Schizosaccharomyces pombe: one gene and its partners. Changing the gene in region 4 together with the main gene of any one other region gives a genetic interaction. Each region holds a gene or a part of one and is shown on either strand. Other genes may lie near its edges.

What was found.
Region 1: mutations in nnr2 (region 4) and ell1 together harm fitness less than expected from each alone (positive genetic interaction), as found in Schizosaccharomyces pombe (one large-scale study listed by BioGRID).
Region 2: mutations in nnr2 (region 4) and ngl1 together harm fitness less than expected from each alone (positive genetic interaction), as found in Schizosaccharomyces pombe (one large-scale study listed by BioGRID).
Region 3: mutations in nnr2 (region 4) and get4 together harm fitness more than expected from each alone (negative genetic interaction), as found in Schizosaccharomyces pombe (one large-scale study listed by BioGRID).

The regions. Positions count from the first base shown.
Region 1 is NC_003423.3:2,027,836-2,032,874, forward strand, and holds ell1 (RNA polymerase II transcription elongation factor Ell1), read right to left. Parts: upstream 3,306-5,039; 5' UTR 3,201-3,305; coding exon 3,036-3,200; intron 2,961-3,035; coding exon 2,752-2,960; intron 2,652-2,751; coding exon 1,424-2,651; 3' UTR 775-1,423; downstream 1-774. Other genes in the region: origin recognition complex subunit Orc4, read left to right, coding at 1-626.
Region 2 is NC_003423.3:1,124,374-1,128,680, reverse strand, and holds ngl1 (peptide N-glycanase), read right to left. Parts: upstream 2,210-4,307; 5' UTR 2,054-2,209; coding exon 1,727-2,053; intron 1,652-1,726; coding exon 1,475-1,651; intron 1,429-1,474; coding exon 1,269-1,428; intron 1,224-1,268; coding exon 1,185-1,223; intron 1,140-1,184; coding exon 841-1,139; 3' UTR 713-840; downstream 1-712. Other genes in the region: mRNA processing protein Cft2, read left to right, coding at 1-712; ribosomal lysine methyltransferase Set10, read left to right, coding at 2,594-4,237.
Region 3 is NC_003421.2:589,248-593,470, reverse strand, and holds get4 (protein Get4), read left to right. Parts: upstream 1-1,720; 5' UTR 1,721-1,816; coding exon 1,817-1,848; intron 1,849-1,895; coding exon 1,896-1,949; exon of another isoform or gene 1,950-1,988; coding exon 1,989-2,149; exon of another isoform or gene 2,150-2,212; coding exon 2,213-2,288; exon of another isoform or gene 2,289-2,403; coding exon 2,404-2,474; intron 2,475-2,519; coding exon 2,520-2,905; intron 2,906-2,970; exon of another isoform or gene 2,971-3,013; coding exon 3,014-3,145; 3' UTR 3,146-3,401; downstream 3,402-4,223. Other genes in the region: exocyst complex subunit Sec15, read right to left, coding at 1-639, 680-1,118, 1,218-1,337, 1,385-1,546, 1,587-1,619; SPOM_SPCC1672.11C (P-type ATPase P5 type), read left to right, coding at 3,618-4,223. UniProt on the Schizosaccharomyces pombe protein: May play a role in insertion of tail-anchored proteins into the endoplasmic reticulum membrane.
Region 4 is NC_003421.2:1,442,112-1,446,382, reverse strand, and holds nnr2 (NADHX dehydratase Nnr2), read right to left. Parts: upstream 1,895-4,271; 5' UTR 1,731-1,894; coding exon 747-1,730; 3' UTR 501-746; downstream 1-500. Other genes in the region: SPOM_SPCC61.04C (Rab GTPase-binding protein), read left to right, coding at 1-40; SAGA complex subunit Spt3, read right to left, coding at 2,458-3,381.

The DNA of each region.
Region 1 (5,039 bases), on a different chromosome or scaffold from region 4:
AAGGCGGAAAAGACCAAATAATAACATGCTGGAACCAGAGAGTGGATGAATTGCTTTCCGATACACGAAGTCACTTACATAAATTGGTACAACATCACTATTTTGCAAGCAGAAATTTAAAATTATTGTATGTTGATTTATTATTTCCCATACTTTCCATGGCACCTGATCGTCCATTACTTGCTGATGAAGACTTCGCCAATATCAGTCTCAAAGTTTCTGACCATAAGGTTGAACTTGTAAAGAATTTAAGTTTGTTGGAGTTGGCTTTATTGATTTGTGCAGTTCGCTTTGAAGCTAGGGATATTCCAGCTTGCAACTTTAATAGTGCTTATCAAGAATATCGACAACTGCATCAATCTTCCGTTATAAATGCCGCAGCATCGGGAGCTCTAGCTCATAGCAGTCGATTATGGGGAAGGGATGTTGCTTTGGAAGCATGGGAAACTTTAGGGTCTATAGGATTGATTATACCGGTTCACCCTTCTACTAATGTTAGTGGTGCCCTTTCTAGACAATGCCAACTATGGCAGCCAGAAGTGGATATCAATGTAGTTTCTGTAGGTTTGCGTGAACATCGACGTTTGCCATCGCATTATTACCGCTGGCTTAAGGAGGTTATATAAAAGAATTGCAATTTTTTTTGTTTCTGTTGTATTTTATTAACTTTGTATCCTTTTTAAATAAAACAATATAAGAAAGGCAAAAATAAGGACGACCGTGTTGAAGGTTATATACCATTACACATTGTAGTTATTACCGATATTTGATAAATAAAAGTTTTAATTTTAATTGATTAAATATTTGCTTCTGATAAACGAAAATAGAATTTACTTTTTTGCTATCAGCGCTGGTTAAGCTGTGAAAGAAGCTGGTCTCCAAATATTTATATTAGATGACTTATGAAGGTAAATCAGTAATCAACGGATCAATGAATACCTAAACATTTTAATGATAGTTTTTGTTTCAGGGTCACTTTGTACTAATGTAGAAAAAAAATTTTGGCGGAATATTTCATGAAAGGTGGTAAGAAAAACAAAATAAATTAGATTAAACGAAAGGACTCATCAGTGGTACTTTTAAGCCCAAAAAAAAGTGATAGCACATAAGGAATTCACGCAGTTTAACTAACTTAAAGATATGTCATAAAAGTTTAAAAAAAGCATCACAATAACAAGATTCTCATTATAAAATCAAAAACAAACTAATATTCAATAAACTGCTAATTGAATATGAATTTAACCAATTTATCTTTTAAACGAAACACTAGCCTTAACGAAAGCAGGAAAAAACAGCCTGCACTCGTTGTAGGCACCGTACAGTATTGAAACAATTTTGAATTGAAGCTGAGATAACCGTCACCTTTATAAAACATTGGAAATAAAACTGAGTGTTAAGAAAACCGGAAATTTATTGAGAAAAGTTAGAGGGCTAGCTCCGAGGAAGCATCGTAAAGTGTATTTTTCCAGCTTTTGAGCTGAGAATGTAGAGATATAAGTTCATCTTGGAGCTTGTTTAAATTAGGATTATTAGTATCATTATTATCATAATATGAAGAGACTTTTAAATATAAATTCTTATAACGCGGATAAGTTTCCCGAAATCTTTTTGCCAATGCTCGCATTTCTTCTGTAGTGTAACGTTGTTGACGACGCTTTTTAGCTATCCATGCATCTTGTTCATTCTTCTTGGGAGAGTTTGCATTGGGTTCAAGAGTGCCGTTGGTAGAAGACGAAGACGTAGGAAACGGGGTGGAAGGCAAGGATTGCGGAGGAGAACGACTTTTTCGTTTGATATGTGGAGATGAAAGATTGGAGCAAGTAGTGGAAGAGCCAGGTGAAGGAATGTCGGAGATAGGAGTATTTAAGTTTGTTGTATCGCTTAATGAAACGGCAGAGCTTTCTGAACCAGTACGAGAAAGATTTCCCGATGTTTTTCGGTGTGAGGAGGGGGAAAGCAAGGGAGAATAGTTTGAAGCGTTGAGCTTGGGTATGCGGTGTTGTTGTTGATAAGAAGAAACCGAGGAAATAGAAGGCATTGAAGGAGAGTTAGTGTCAATGAATGAAGGAACATGAGAAGTGGGTTGGGCCAATTGGGGAGGAATTCGTTTTTCATTGTTGAGTTTAGTAATGTTTTTTTGTTTTGACACTAAAAGTGAACGTTCAGGAGCATCAGGAGGCAATTGCATGTTGTCGAATGCATTGGACATACGACTTAGAACGGCATTCCTGTCTGCAATACTATAAGGACGCCAATCAAAGACTCGTACATCTTTATACACAGGATTAAGGAGCTCCCATTGATTCATGTTGTTCTTCCAAGCGACTTCTGGTAATAACGCTTGTAATTTGGAAAGTGACGCCTTTGTTCTTAAACGAAGAAAATCTTCAGTTTCGGGAGCGATTGCCAAAAGTTGGATAACACGAGTACGAAGATCAATGCCTTTGGCCGAGTTTTTATCACCAGAATAATGTGGTGATGCAGACGGTTGCGAGACGGGAAGGTTTGGGGAAGGTGTATTTGTGGGAGAAGAGGAAAGACCAATTCGTGAAGCACTTGTATTGAGAGGCCTGAGTCCATTTTTTTTTAACTGCTTTTGCTTCCTAGCAGTTGTATTTTTTGAACCACCATCATTTTGAAGGGTAACAATTCTATTTTTACAAATATTAGCATAATTTGAAAAGAGAAAGATTGAAAGTAACTTCTTCCAATCCATAGAATTGGTTGATACTATTGTCGTTCTTTTCATACCTTTTTTCTTCTTTTTCCTTTTGAGCTTCCTGCGTACGATTTTTCACTCGCTCAGCAGTTAAACTGTCGAGCTCTCTACGAAGCTGTAGCTTTTGTGAGACACGGCCAACCAGTTGTAACGAATTCGAGTCCACCAGTCTGTAAATCTCATGCGGAGCAGTTTCTGGAACGGAAGTGCATTTGTAAGACCTATCGTTCGCTAATATTGACTAAAAAAAGTATATTGGTTAGCAACATTCAAAATTCATTCTTCTTTATCGCTCTTCACAAATGCCCACACATACAGTACCAACATCACTGCATTCCAAGCTCACGTCTGTTATCGTTCCTGAAAGATATCCTTCGAGAAACTCTTTGGGTAATTGTACCAGCATCAATAAAGGCGATTCTTCTTCATTTCCGCCTAATGCTACAGGTAGAGCATCAGAAATGCTACTGTTCCTAATCATTCAACCCAAATAGATCGATAGTAAAAGCCTCTCAAAATGATTATATTAGCTAGATGGCACAACGGAGAAGCTTGTTTAAGAAGCCAGTAAGTACGGTAAAGGGATAAGAAGGTGGACTAACATAAAGATGCACCTTATGTATGAAACCTAGCTAGAGCTAAGTAACAAAAAGTAGCACATATTGGTGGTGTACAATAGGAATAAGCAGCGTATCGCTAAATGGAAAGAATAATGTAAACATTCGAAATTCAAAGAAACAAGTTGCAGCTTTGGTGTAAAAAAATATTTCTTTTTATGTCCTTTTAGCTCATATGTGACAGTGTACTATTTTTTGAGATGAATATCGGACTTTGGTTTACATAGTTCAGTTTTTAGTAACAGTGGAAAAATGAGAATTAGGGAGCGATGCTGAACAAATTTGAGCTTGCGTCCTTAGTTTACTATCTAGATATAAGTAAATCATATTTTTCTAAAAAAATAAATTTCCGTTAGGTTCGAAATTCTAAGCGGCGGAATAGGGTTACGGGACCAGAAATTTATTGATGAACTAGTGAATCTTTTAGACTTATTTAATCAATGACTTCTTGAAAACTCTACTGAATTGAAAACAATGATGCTTTACAAATTTTGCCAATTATTCCATAATTGAATTCACTTTTGTTGACGAACTGTGGTATTTATAATTTCAAACAAAAAAAAGGTCTTTAGTACATTAATTTATCAGGTTAAATGAGCCAATATAAAGCTGTTTAATTAACCACAGATTTTTTTTTGATTTTACTTGCTGGTCCTGTTATTCGTGTTTATCAAACTACGCAATTATTTAGATTGTTTTTATGATAATTTGTTAATTTCATTTAATTCAAATCGAATAACGAACCATTTGTTTTTCATTGAATCTTTACATATGTTTACTACATAGTGAATATATTTATAGTCTAGAAACAGTCTTCTTCTGAGTGGAATTATCTATCCTTTAAAATTCATGTTACTAATACAAATATAGTATAACTAAAGTTCCGAAATACTTGATGATTCAGAATAACTGGTATTAAGACAAAAGTAATGACTAGGTTTAAAGCATAGAAGATATATATGTTTAAAATATATCTACAGACATCCAAGGTCGGGTAGCATAGTTGGTTATTGCGCACGACTGTTAATCGTGAGGTCGAGGGTTCGAGTCCCTCCCTGACCGGATATATTTTTGTGTAAATATATTTTGTATATACACAGTTAAACGAGTACTACCAGTTATTTTATTATTGTGCTCATTGAAAATTCTTTCAAAAATCATGTTGAAGCTTTTAACAAAATTTAAAATACCTCTTATCTTTTCTTACACTATATATCTTGTTAAATTTTTTGACAAACGTCTACGGCCATACCTAGGCGAAAACACCAGTTCCCGTCCGATCACTGCAGTTAAGCGTCTGAGGGCCTCGTTAGTACTATGGTTGGAGACAACATGGGAATCCGGGGTGCTGTAGGCTTTTTGCCATATATGTTTTGGTTTCCACTATCGTGCGAACGATTTCAATAAACAAACATTCGTGTTTTTTTCGCTTATGCAAATGGAAAATGTTCATACCAATTTTTAACTCCATAAAAGCCGATATTCCTTACAGAAGATTAACCCGATAAACCCTCGCAGTGATTGAATGAATTGAACGGAATGCTCGACGATTATTCGCAAAAATCTATTTTTATAAAATAAAACTACATAACTACATTATCAAGTCGACTTACTACTACATGAATTTTAACGCAAGTTGCTAATTACGAGCAAGCGCCCAAGAAAAAAGGTACAAAAAAGGAAGAATGAATTCAGATTAACTC
Region 2 (4,307 bases), on a different chromosome or scaffold from region 4:
AGATGAAAAAACTATCCGAGTTTCATGTCAAGTTCAGTTCATAGATATTGAGGGTCTGCATGATGGACGTTCTTTGAAAACTATTATACCACAGGTAAATCCTAGAAGACTTGTCCTTATTCATGCTTCAACTGAAGAGAAAGAAGATATGAAGAAAACGTGCGCCTCTCTCAGTGCTTTTACCAAGGACGTTTACATACCCAACTATGGTGAAATCATTAATGTTAGTATCGATGTTAATGCATTCAGTCTTAAATTAGCAGATGATCTTATTAAAAATTTAATTTGGACTAAAGTTGGCAATTGCGAAGTTTCACATATGCTGGCTAAGGTTGAGATCTCTAAACCTTCTGAAGAAGAAGATAAAAAGGAAGAAGTTGAGAAAAAGGACGGTGATAAAGAAAGGAATGAAGAGAAAAAAGAAGAGAAAGAGACACTTCCTGTTCTTAACGCCTTGACTTTAAGATCAGACTTGGCAAGAGCGCCCAGGGCTGCTCCACTTTTGGTAGGTAATATTCGGCTTGCCTATCTCCGTAAAGCACTTTTAGATCAAGGAATTTCTGCTGAATTGAAAGGAGAAGGTGTTTTATTATGTGGGGGAGCTGTTGCCGTAAGAAAACTCAGTGGTGGTAAAATATCCGTTGAGGGCAGTTTGAGCAACCGCTTTTTTGAAATTCGAAAGTTGGTTTACGATGCACTTGCTGTCGTTTAACTAATGTATGAAAAAAAAATTTAATTAGGATTACATAAAAAAAAAGCTAGTAACTAGAAAGGATTCATGTACAACATAACTAATAAATGTTTGGTAATAGAAACGGAACGTAAAGCTTTATGAAACAATCATTTTCCTGCTTCCCCTCTTTTCTCTTTCCATTCAACATTCCCCGTTTGTCTTGCTGGCAGGTCAGTGTTAGTGGGCGTGGCCTGGGAAACAGGACGCATATAACCATCAAGTTCATCTTTTTCACGTTTGTCTTCCTCCTCTAGAGCCTTACGTTCAGAATCAGTTAGTCGGGACCGAAACTCAATATTAATCTCATGCAAAGCCTGTTGTAGGACAGATTCGGGGCATCGATCACGAGGAAGACCATTCTCAGGGTGACGAATATATCTATGCGATACATCGCGAACACTATCGACTATTTTTGCATTAGTAACAAATAAAATTAAAACCTTTTCCGTACTCCCAAAACCCAAACAATATGACATCTTCTTTCCCCAACCTAATGCTGTTAGAAATCAAGTTTTTCAAGGAGTTAGAACTCTACCTTGTTCGTATATCAAAGGTTCATCGAATGATTCTTCACCACTATCGACATGCACCCAGCGTTGCTGTTTATTACTATAGACTTCCGTCCACACATGGTCCTCAGCATTCCAAATCCACCTAGCTCTAGATCCAAGTGCTCTGCATAGGAAAGTGAAACACTAAGAAAATGTTAGCTTTATATATTTATAAATATTTTTAACTCACGTTGGCCCACTCTCCACATCTTCCCTTCCTTGAATCAAGCAATGCTCGAATGCGATTATACCTGGGAAATCTCTGATTATGCCCGCATACATTGCATTGATAAAGCTCTACGTTGCGGACTCCATTCCATTTTTCTTCCTCATTGGGGGGACCGTTGCCTGTCATATGAGTTTCACCCTACACATTGTCAATATTCTATATCGTACGGATAAAGAACAAAAAATTGACTACACCGTCAATCATAAAACATACTCCACATTTTTCGCAAGGTGGTTGATTAACCCAAACAAAGAATTCTCGCTTGAACCACTTTAACAAGGCTTGAATCACATAATCTTGGTAACCCCAAGATCCATCTCCCTCTTTTTCTAATTCAGAAGCATCTTGAAATAGTTTGTCAAGTGGTAAAATGCTAAGAGCATAATCCTGCAACTCTGGGTCTTCATACATCCACGGGTGTTGTGACATTTGACGTACTTCATGATAAAAGGGATATGTCTCTGGAGGCTGAGAAGCGTTCTGGGAATTCTTGCTTCTCATCATATCAATGAAACGTTGAGAAATCGCATGAAAATCCATTTTCAGCAAATGTCCTATTTTCAAGAAAATAGCTAACGATTGTAAACAAAAAAAAAGAAAAAAAAAGAAAAAATTAAAGAAGGTATTTGTAAAACTGGATTGATTTACAAAAAATGAGGGTAATGTATTCACGAATCACAATATACGCTAAATTCTAAAAGACAACGCTTTCCTGTAGTCTAATTATGAGTATAAAGACTTCAAATTGTTATCAATTGCAAATTACTACAAGCGTTTTAAACTAATTAGCATCGATACAGTTTTTTGTAACAATACAAATGGCGGTTATCCGCATTAAAAACTGTGGGAGAAACACCCAAATGCGGTTTCAGGGTATTTCAATCCTTACCTTTGAGCAATAGGCGAAGCCAGGCGGCACTCTGCTACCACTTTTTAATTTTATGGTATAATTTATCTTCCACTTTTCTTTTGTCTGTTTTCATTTTTAAAAAGCAAAAATCAGTTTTGATGGTTTGATTATTGGAATTTTACAATTTTTTTTTTTTTCTAATTTACTTCTTTTATACGAACGCTACTTTAATGGAGAAATTACTACACGAAGCCTTGCAAAATGGCTGCAAGCTTCATAAATCTGTCGAATTTATCCAAAGTCGAGACGATAACGCTTGTTTTGGTAGTTATATTGCTGTTGCACAAAACGATATAGCACCTGATCAATTACTTATATCCTGCCCTTTTGAGTATGCAATAACATATAACAAGGCGAAAGAGGAATTAAAAAAATTGAATCCAAATTTTGAGAGTTGCAATCCTCATATAACACTTTGTACATTTTTAGCATTGGAGAGCTTGAAGGGTATACAAAGTAAGTGGTACGGGTACATTGAGTATCTACCTAAAACATTCAACACCCCTCTTTATTTTAACGAAAATGATAACGCCTTTTTGATATCCACAAATGCGTACTCTGCTGCTCAGGAGCGTTTGCATATCTGGAAGCATGAGTATCAAGAAGCATTAAGTTTGCACCCATCTCCTACAGAAAGATTTACCTTCGATTTGTATATATGGTCTGCCACTGTTTTCTCATCTAGATGTTTTTCATCCAATCTAATATATAAGGATTCAGAGTCTACTCCCATTCTTCTTCCTCTCATTGACAGTCTGAATCATAAACCAAAGCAGCCAATTTTGTGGAATAGTGATTTTCAAGATGAAAAATCTGTTCAATTAATTTCCCAAGAGTTGGTTGCAAAAGGCAACCAGCTGTTTAATAATTACGGTCCAAAGGGCAACGAAGAGTTACTAATGGGCTATGGGTTTTGCTTACCTGATAACCCATTTGATACAGTGACTTTAAAAGTAGCTATTCATCCAGATTTACCGCATAAAGATCAAAAAGCTGCCATTCTTGAGAATGATTGCCAATTTCAGTTGAGCAATTTAGTATTTTTTTTGCCAAAGTCCCCAGATAAGGAAATTTTTCAAAAGATTCTTCAATGTTTAGCAGTTGTAACTGCCTCTTCTCTTGAACTTCGAAAATTGACAGCGCATTTGTTGACGGGTGATCTAGCTTCTTATGTCCCTTCTTTACGAGGCCAGATTAAGTCCTTGGAAGTTTTACTTATGTACATCGACTCTAGAGCTGACCTTTTGTTAAAATCAAATCCGCAAGTATCTCCGACCTCTGAAAGGCAGGTTTGGGCCAAAATTTATCGCGATAGTCAGATTAATATTCTTCAAGACTCCATCACTTATGTCAAAAATTATATGGAAGAATCACTCCAAAAAACTTACAAACCTCTTCCAAACCTTTTGCAATATCTCATCCTTAATTCGATATCTATTTTCCTCTTGCAACATCCTTTGTTTGCACCACTTTCGCATGCCATTGAGAGTCTCTATGGTTCAACCGATGCTGAAGCATTGGTCGCTACAGATGAGCAGGATATTTTAATGATATTGATTTGTGTATATTGTTTATCTATTTCTGAAAAATTACCTTTCTCAATTAGTATGCTTGTGGAAGGGTATCCAGCCGTTGCTAATCCAGAAGGTGTTGAAGTCTTTGAAATCTTGGATGAAATGTTTTTTCAACAATTTACAAACGTATTTGGGGAATCCAAGCATTTTAATAAAGAAAATGTTTCTTGGGCATTGCAATTGGTAAATGACGAAAGTCTCGACTTTTCTGGATTTACCTTTATTATTGCCCATAATTGATAAATAAAAATTAAGCGATTAATATATAATGTACGATGAGTATTCCAATATTGGGTTAGGTAAAGTAGAT
Region 3 (4,223 bases), 850 kb from region 4:
AACATAGTGGGCACATCTTTGAAAAGCTCATTGTTCTTGGGAAGGGTTCAGAGGGGAAGTTCCAATAGGGCGCTATATAATGGTCATATTCCTCCTGTGTCTCAACGATCATGGGAGCATACACATCCTTTTCAAACGCCTCTTCAAAGAACACAGAATGCTTCAATATAAGGGCTCCACCAAAAGCATCAATAAGCTCGACACATAAGTTCCGCAAACTTTCAACGGAAAACCCAAATCTCTCCATGGTATGCATAAGCAAAACAATTTGATTTTTCAGTTTTATTATTGTAGTGGTACTTTGCTCTGTAAACGCAACACTTAAAATTGTTTCGACCAACTTTTCACAAATAATAGTCCAAATGTTTTGAACTTCTTCGTAAGAGCGAAAATTGGGTATACACTGTAATATGTAGTACTCAACTATCATAAACCCAGCAATAGAATTTAACCATTCGCTGACAACAGCCATGTCTAGCGTGGTCAGACTTTTAGGCGCTAAAAACTCTTGTTGGCGTCTCCTATCTCGCTCAAATGAGGAACGGAAAGAGCTGAGCAAGCCCAAATAAGAATGAACTTGCAAGCATATATATAAAGGTTCAAAGCTAATCTTGACGATCTCGTTATCTAAGGGAGAAACTGAAAATGTTAACAAAACAGAAACAAAACGTAAACATACAATCCATCATTTCAAGCAAATATAGTTCTAGGGAAATTGAGGTTTTGGAGCTTAGGTTAACCAAATCCTCTTTGTATTCCCTAGCCCATCGTCTTCTGGCTTCATCAATTTGCTGTGAGCATGATTTACCAACTAAAGGTAGTTTTTGTCTAATGCTGAAAAGCCATTCATGCAGGTCTTCCATAACAGCGCTACATATAGCTTCCTTGGTAGTGACAATGTATTGTTGGATGGTAGAATACATCCCCAATCCATCTAAACGTTTTAAATGCACTTCGCTTATTTCTGAGCAAATTCTGAGTGTAGGAAGATACTGCTTTTTACTCAATAACTCTTGAGAGTACTGAACCTGATGCAACACTTGCATACAGCTCCTCACTAAATTATGATATTTTGTAAGAAATCTCTCGGATGTGCTTAGAGAATTTAATTGTTGTTTCTGATACAATTGTTAGTTTTCTGCGTAATCAAAATTCAAGAATTTAATCAAGCTCAATTTCTTCAAGTTGAAAGAGCCACGCTTAATATAATTGCTCACCATATTTTGTAAATCACGACCGCTAGCTTGAATGTCAGTGTTCAGGTCGGCCATTAAAGATTGCAAACTACGAAGTTCGGACCGAACTACAGATAACTGGTTTACCGATTTGCTAAAATCCTAATAATTGTAAGATTATACCTTAGGGAAACAGGAGACTAGCATACCTGGTTGTTTTCAGCAGAGAGCTGTTCAACGCGTATCGCGCTTTTGCTGGCCAATTCATTTAGCCGTTCATAAACTTGAGTCTCTTGTCCTTTTTCACACGCCAAGCTAATTAATTGGGGCAACCGATCTAAGGTGTCACCGGCAGATTCGATTGAAGCAATCTACCAATTTATCAATTACAACTCAGCAGTATTCTCTTACCTTATCTACAAACTCCAAGACATCTATATCCATCCTTTGAAATACATTGAAAGATGAAATACACAATTTCAACTGTAGTAGGTAGTTTCGCTAAAATAGGTATATACGGGGATGGGCAGGACCACTTGCTCCCTGAGACAACACTTAGTGCGAGAAGCGTTAAATAGCAATTCACGTTTACTCAGTTTTTTTACGCTTATTTTTATTTTTCTTTATAAATAATAAACAATATGGACGCAAAAATCAAGCGAGCCGAAGGAAGGTAATGAATTACGAATATTGATGAAGGTATTATTATTGACAATTTAGATTACGAGAGGATCCCTATGAAGGTCACCAAATGCTTCGCACTCTAGTAAATAGGTAGGTTGTTTGTTATTGATCAATGAATAACCGAGCAAGACAGGTGAAAGCTAAGAAACACGACGATGCAGTTGCATTGCTATATTCGGGCGCTAAAACATTATTTGAAATCGAGCAAACCGGAAGTGCCGCAGACCTAGCGATATACATGCTAGATGTTTATGAAAAAGCTTCATATGCTGCCTCTCTTGACAACAAAGGTATGCTAGTCACATCAGCTAATTTTAACTCTGATTTTTAAACTTCATTATACTAATTCACAGCCCGAGCTTTGACTCTTTTGGGACTTTTTCCTGCCGAAGAAGGTGCAAGGAAGCAATACGTTAAAAGGCTTTTAGAGTAAGTGCCTATTTATCTGTATGGATTATATATGGACGGCGTGAATGATAACGATCGATTCTTCGCCCTTTTATCCTACATACTGTCTTTTTTTTTACTTACTAATGATGAATAGATGGAGCAAATCTGCCGGTCCTCAAGGAGACAAGGACGTTCACTTTGCGGTAGCTACTATGTTTGTAAAATGTACGAACTTTTCGTAATCTGCTTTGCTTTTAACACATAATATAGGGAAAGAACCCGCTAGCGCTGAGAAGCACTTTGTTCTCGGAAATGAAAAGAGCGCCCGCGCATATGGTGAAACAATGTACTATTGGTTTACGTCGGATTCTTCGATCAGTCCTGATACGTTTGCTGGAAGACCTGTTTTAAATTATCTTTTGGCAGAAAACCTAATTTCTGCTTGGAACTCACTAGAGACATTTACCAAGCATTTTACTAAATCGAATGCGCCTGATGTTGAGAACATGAGTTTCGATGGTAAAGATTTTCCTGTTTTTAAAGAGTATCCCCAGATGAATTTCTTACATTTACTTATTTTTACGGCATATCGCAAAGATAAAGAGACATATCTTTCATTGGTACAAAAGTATCCTAAAAAGCAAGATTGGGAAGCTGTACGTTACATTTATAAGAAAAATGTTTCTTTTTTTCATATATATATTTACATATTAGCATTTTTTCTTATTTCTAAAGTGTTTTGCTAACAAATTTTTTTACTACAGGCCTTAGCAAAGATTGAAGAAATCTACTTTGGAATTCGCCCTGTTAGCAATCAACCAAACATTCTAGCCAATCTTATGAGCTCCTTGTTTTCTGGTCCTCCCGCAGCCACAAACCAGTTGGATTTGGAGTAAAAGCAACTGGATGTTATTCAAGTTTACGTGTCGCAGACATTATAATTGATGCATAAAGTTTACGAAATTGATATTAAAGATGATAAATTTGTTTTTCAGTCGTAAAAGAAATATATAAATTCCTAGAAAATGGTTTTCATTGAAGGGACAAGTGAAATAAGTATTCTCGGTAACGCGAGAGACATGTTTACGAGCAGCCTTCTTCTAATTTATAGAAAATACTTCCTTAGCAGATCAATAAAAAAAATTACTTCTATTAAAGCAAATACTTCTTATTGTTCTATTTACTTATGATTGTAAAGTTCTCACCTTTTGTTGTAGCAATCTTCGTAATGTGTGATTCCGTAGCTCAGTATTTTCGAACGCTCTTCATGGGTTACCTATTCACTACCACCATCCTGCAATCTCATAGTAAATTAGTTTTAATCAATAATTTAGGGAGATTGAAGGGGTTTTTAGTGGAGAAATCATTATGGCATCTCCGAAGATGATAAGAAGCAAGAGGTCAACATCCTCAATTGCTTCAAAAAATTCGTTAAATTCGTATTTGGCATCATCATTGATGAGCCATGATAGTATTTTCGATGGCCCTGGGTTAGGAACTAGCATTCCGTCTAGTGTCTCAAGCTTTCATCATCAAACTTTAAGGCCCTCTTCGGATGCCAGCGTAAGCCAATTTAGCATGGACTATCTACAGTCGGAATACAATCTTAATCGGTATAATGATGGGGAGTCTATAGCTGCTAGTAGGGATTACCAGAGTTTGCTTCGTGATAATGGCTCAGGTGTTTATAGTGATGAGGAGGAAATAACAGAAATGATGTTAGAAGAGTTGAATATACATCCGGTCTTACGTAGAGAATCTGTAGGAGAAGCTGCTGGATTGAGTGAAGACGGTTGCTGTCAAATTTTGTACCTTGTGGAAGAAGATTTGGAAGTAGGCATTGCTGGATACAAAACGAACAAAAGCCGTTATCGTTTGTATCAAGCTATTTGCCTACTTACTCTTGGTTTGGCGTACCTAATTTTTCGTTGGCTTCCCAAATATTTCATTCGTTTTGTTGGAACTCGTGAACCC
Region 4 (4,271 bases):
TTACGGGGTCTTTGCCGTGATCACCGTGTTTTCGAAATAATCGTATCTGTGCATCTTTATCCCATAAAAGAGATATTTATTATCCATGTTCTTTCTTTTTATCTCACATTTCTTTTTTTCAAATTAAATAGTAACATTTTTAATTGATAACGCATTTCAATATTCCATATTGTCAATTATGACTTTCCAAGAAGAAAAACAGTAGAATGAAAATACAACGTTGAGGTCAAGATAGGAATTGATTAATAATCTAGATATCTAAATCGTAGAATATTAGAATTTAACTATTATATGAAGGTTTGAATTGGTTTCCGAAGCTATTGTCGTGCTCATAGATACATCGTCTTATAGTAAAACTTAGGAACAATACTAATTTCCGTTAAATTTGATAATGTAAATAATGACAATTACGAATCAAAAAGAAGAGTCTGCTTGCCCTTGTCTGTTACAATAAATAAAAACGGTGACAGCTACATCAAATTTCCTCAACAACAATGATACCAACGACTATGCAATGTTTATTTTGAACATGGTTTTTAAAATTAAATACGCTATTTCATTAATAATCTGGTATTTTCGTTTCAGTCATTCCTAGTAACTAAGTTTAAGGTATCCCTTTGCTTGGGAATTTGAACCAAGACTTGAAAACATGGTAATAATGTCAATTCCAGGGAACAAACAAGCAAAAAAGTCAATTATTAGTTTAAGGGTCCTTTATCTTCTTGGTTTTTAAATATTATTTTTTTTTAATCTTTTATTTTTTCCTCGACAGACGGTATCTCATCCTCCATTAACGCATTATACGCTTTACCCACATGTCTGACCAGGTCAGTTGATTGAGTTGCACGACCACATTCCTTAAACGCCAAACGACTGCACCAGCGAGTACAGGCAGAGGCTCCAAATGCGGCAAGGAAGAGACATTCTTTAGCATCCATATTACCTTCTGTATCCCATTCTTTGCTAAGATAAGCATGTCTCCAAGCAAGGAATGTAGCAAGTATACCAGTTAAAATGTCACCCTGACCACCACAACGTTTAAGACCACCAGGAACGGAGCAAGCATATGCAGTAGCGCCATCGGAAATAATATCGGATTGGCCTTTTTGAATGATGAGCAAATTTAGTTTGCCAGCTAGCTGATTGCAAGCATCGGGTCCGTCACTCTTAATGTCAAGCTTGTCGCAAAGTCTTTTGAACTCAATAACGTTAGGTGTTAAAATTACATTATGATAACCCGAAACCAATTCGGGACGTTGTTGAATTAACCACAAGCCATCAGCATCGATAACCATAGGCATATCATTTTTGCGCGCATACTCAATTACTTTGGCCATAATCTCTTGCATCCATTCATCACGTCCCAATCCAGGCCCAATTACGATGGCATGCAATCTTCCCATCATGGGCTTTATAAGTTCAAAGCATTTATCGACACTATCTTCTGGTCCAGCTTTGTCCTTTTCACGTAAAAATGGATGAACAATCAGATCAGGAGAATAGCTTTTAATGACATTTGCAGCTTCTTTTTCACAAAATATGTGGCTTTGGTCACTGCCGAAGAGCATCGACGACATCGAAGAATAGTACGGAGCACCTGTGTAGTGCTGACAACCCCCAAAAACACCAACTCGACCGGCTTGACCTTTGTGGAAGGTATCAAGAAGTGGTGGAATGATGCGCTTCACACGAGTCAGCAAATTTGTAATTTTGGGAGATCCAGATGTCATGTTGTAATCTTGTTGAGCGAATTCTTCGGATAGCAAAAAATTATAAAGAATTACAATTATAATAAATCAAAAAGTCTTTAAAATTCCTGAATTTTGTATCTCTTAAGTACTGTGAGTGCTTCGGAATACGAATGTTCGGTTATTCTTGGAGTTGGCGTATGTATGATGTTAAGGTGGAAGGTATGATCAAAATGACGCTCAGTGATGAAGTTCAAATGTTCTCGAAAACAAAAAAAAAACGTAAAGAAACCCTTTGTTTTTTAAAAATTTCGCACTGACGATATCAAAAGGATGATCCCCTTGTTCATTACGAAAATCAGCAGTTTGTATAGAGTAAACGAAGTTTGGTAAGAAGATTTGCAAATATTCACAGATATCATGAGATTCCAGTATAATAAGAAAAATTTGATATTAAAAAATCCAAAAGTCCAAATACTACCACTGCTGCAATTAAGAATATCGCTTAGTGGAAAGATAGAAATAAAATTATGAATTCAATCGGAGATGCAAGACAACAGTCTAATGTGATGAAATATATTGAGTAGTTAATATCTCCATAAAGTAAAGGGGCTTTCGTAAGATCTAAACCATATTGTTTCAAGGAGAACCAGTAATGGGGATAATAACATATACGTACCTAGTATGGGTAATTACAGGAAAACAGGGCATTTAGATGTAAATGGAAGCCTTACAGCAATTAAAAAAAAAGAAGAGACAGTGAAAATGATTAGATAAGATACACACGAGATTTGACCAAACCCCCATGAAAACTGCGCATAGCAGTATGAGTTTTATCGGGGATTTGCAAACGACGAAAAGCTTCTAAAACATGAGAAACTTGAAGGGGAGTTCTCCCCTCAGTAAGTCCATCAAATAAACTGCAATTTTTCGGATGATGCGCTGCATGAGAGCCTCCACTACCCGAGCTATTTTGAATCCGATCCATTCGATCTTTCACAGCCAGTGCTTCCTCAGTTAAGGTAGCCACAATCTCAAAGGTCAAGAAGCCAAGTATATCTACAATATCATTATCAGGGCGAGTATCTGTTAGAATAGACATGCCACACCATTCACGAAATCGCTTGCCTTTTCGATAAGTAAAACTGGCTTGTCGACATTCACTCCAATGAACATACTCCTCACGCGTCATTTTCTTCGTGCGTTCATCTGCCATTTTAAGACGTTGTCGCGTCGCATATGCCATTTCCATCGTATCGTTATCTTCTTCAAACTCTTCTGTTTCCGGTACAGGCTCTGTAAACATATTTTTTACTTCCCAAGGCATAGCAACTGCATTCATTGACCTTGTTTTTGAATCTACTTCCTCAAAAAGATCTTTTGTATCGGCAGGATTGGCATCCTGCTCCTTCGCTTTCTTGCGCACTTCCTTCCATGACAGGTATGTCTTTAGTCGATTCACCTTTGCACGATCATGGCGAATTAAGAAAAATAAATCTTCCACAGTAATAGATCTTGAGCCACGTCGTAAAGCTAGCTCATTTGCCTGAATTAACATCTCCATCACTTGTCCACGTATTAGCTCTTCGACTAATTGTGTGGTTTCTGGGAGAGGATCCTGCACCTCCCCTAGAATGAACATCATTTGTTGAATTTCAACACGATATTTACTGGTTCTGCCAGTCTCAGTCATTCCGCATTGCTTATTTTTAACCACTTCCCAAAGTGGTGGGTAGTTGACAAGTTGCTGAACTCCAAACTGACAAGAAAAATATAGTTTCCAGTAAGAAGGACTAATTGATGGGGCATAAAGTGCTTTAAGTTGAAAAAGAAAAACCATTGTCAAACGTTTAGCTTGCAAAAAGCAAACAAATTTTATGAGAGCTGGATACACTATCCAAACTGCAAACCCAGTCCATTCTTTCGTTACAGAACATCCAGTACAACTAGTTAGTGAAGAAGTGTTATTAGAAGAGTAACTCCTGTCTTTTTTTGAAGCATAGGTTTATTAATTTAAGATTGTAAATGTTTGAAATTTTTTACCTTCGTAACTTGTTTACTTCCGTTTAAAGTAGATACTTGAGTAATCTATAAAGTGAAAAGCATCAACTTTCTTTGGTCTGAAACTCTCTTTTGCTAGATCATTCATCTTTGTTGCCATAAATGTAAACACCTTCTAATTATCAGCAATTTGTGATATTACTAGCAATTCTTTAGATTATGTTTTCGTGTTTAGAAGGATTTCATTAGTCTGAGTGATATTGCAATTTCTTCTTAATGCTTCTATTTCGAGCATGCTGTAAAATCGTCTGCTACCAATCTCTGTAATTTTTAATACTTCCAAAATGTTTAAGTGTGACTAGAAACTAAATTGAATACTCTGAACAAATGAATACCCTATTGAAGCCATCACTCATAAATTCGAGGAGTTAATTGCGGGAACATCAAATTGGCGGCTTAGCCTGAACCTCGGAGAAAGGGTCAAAGTGTAATTCTTCTATTATTTAAAAAAGTTTAACCGCTTCTTAAAGCAACCAAAAACCTCTTATTAACTAACTAGTCTGCATTTCATCAGTCTTTATT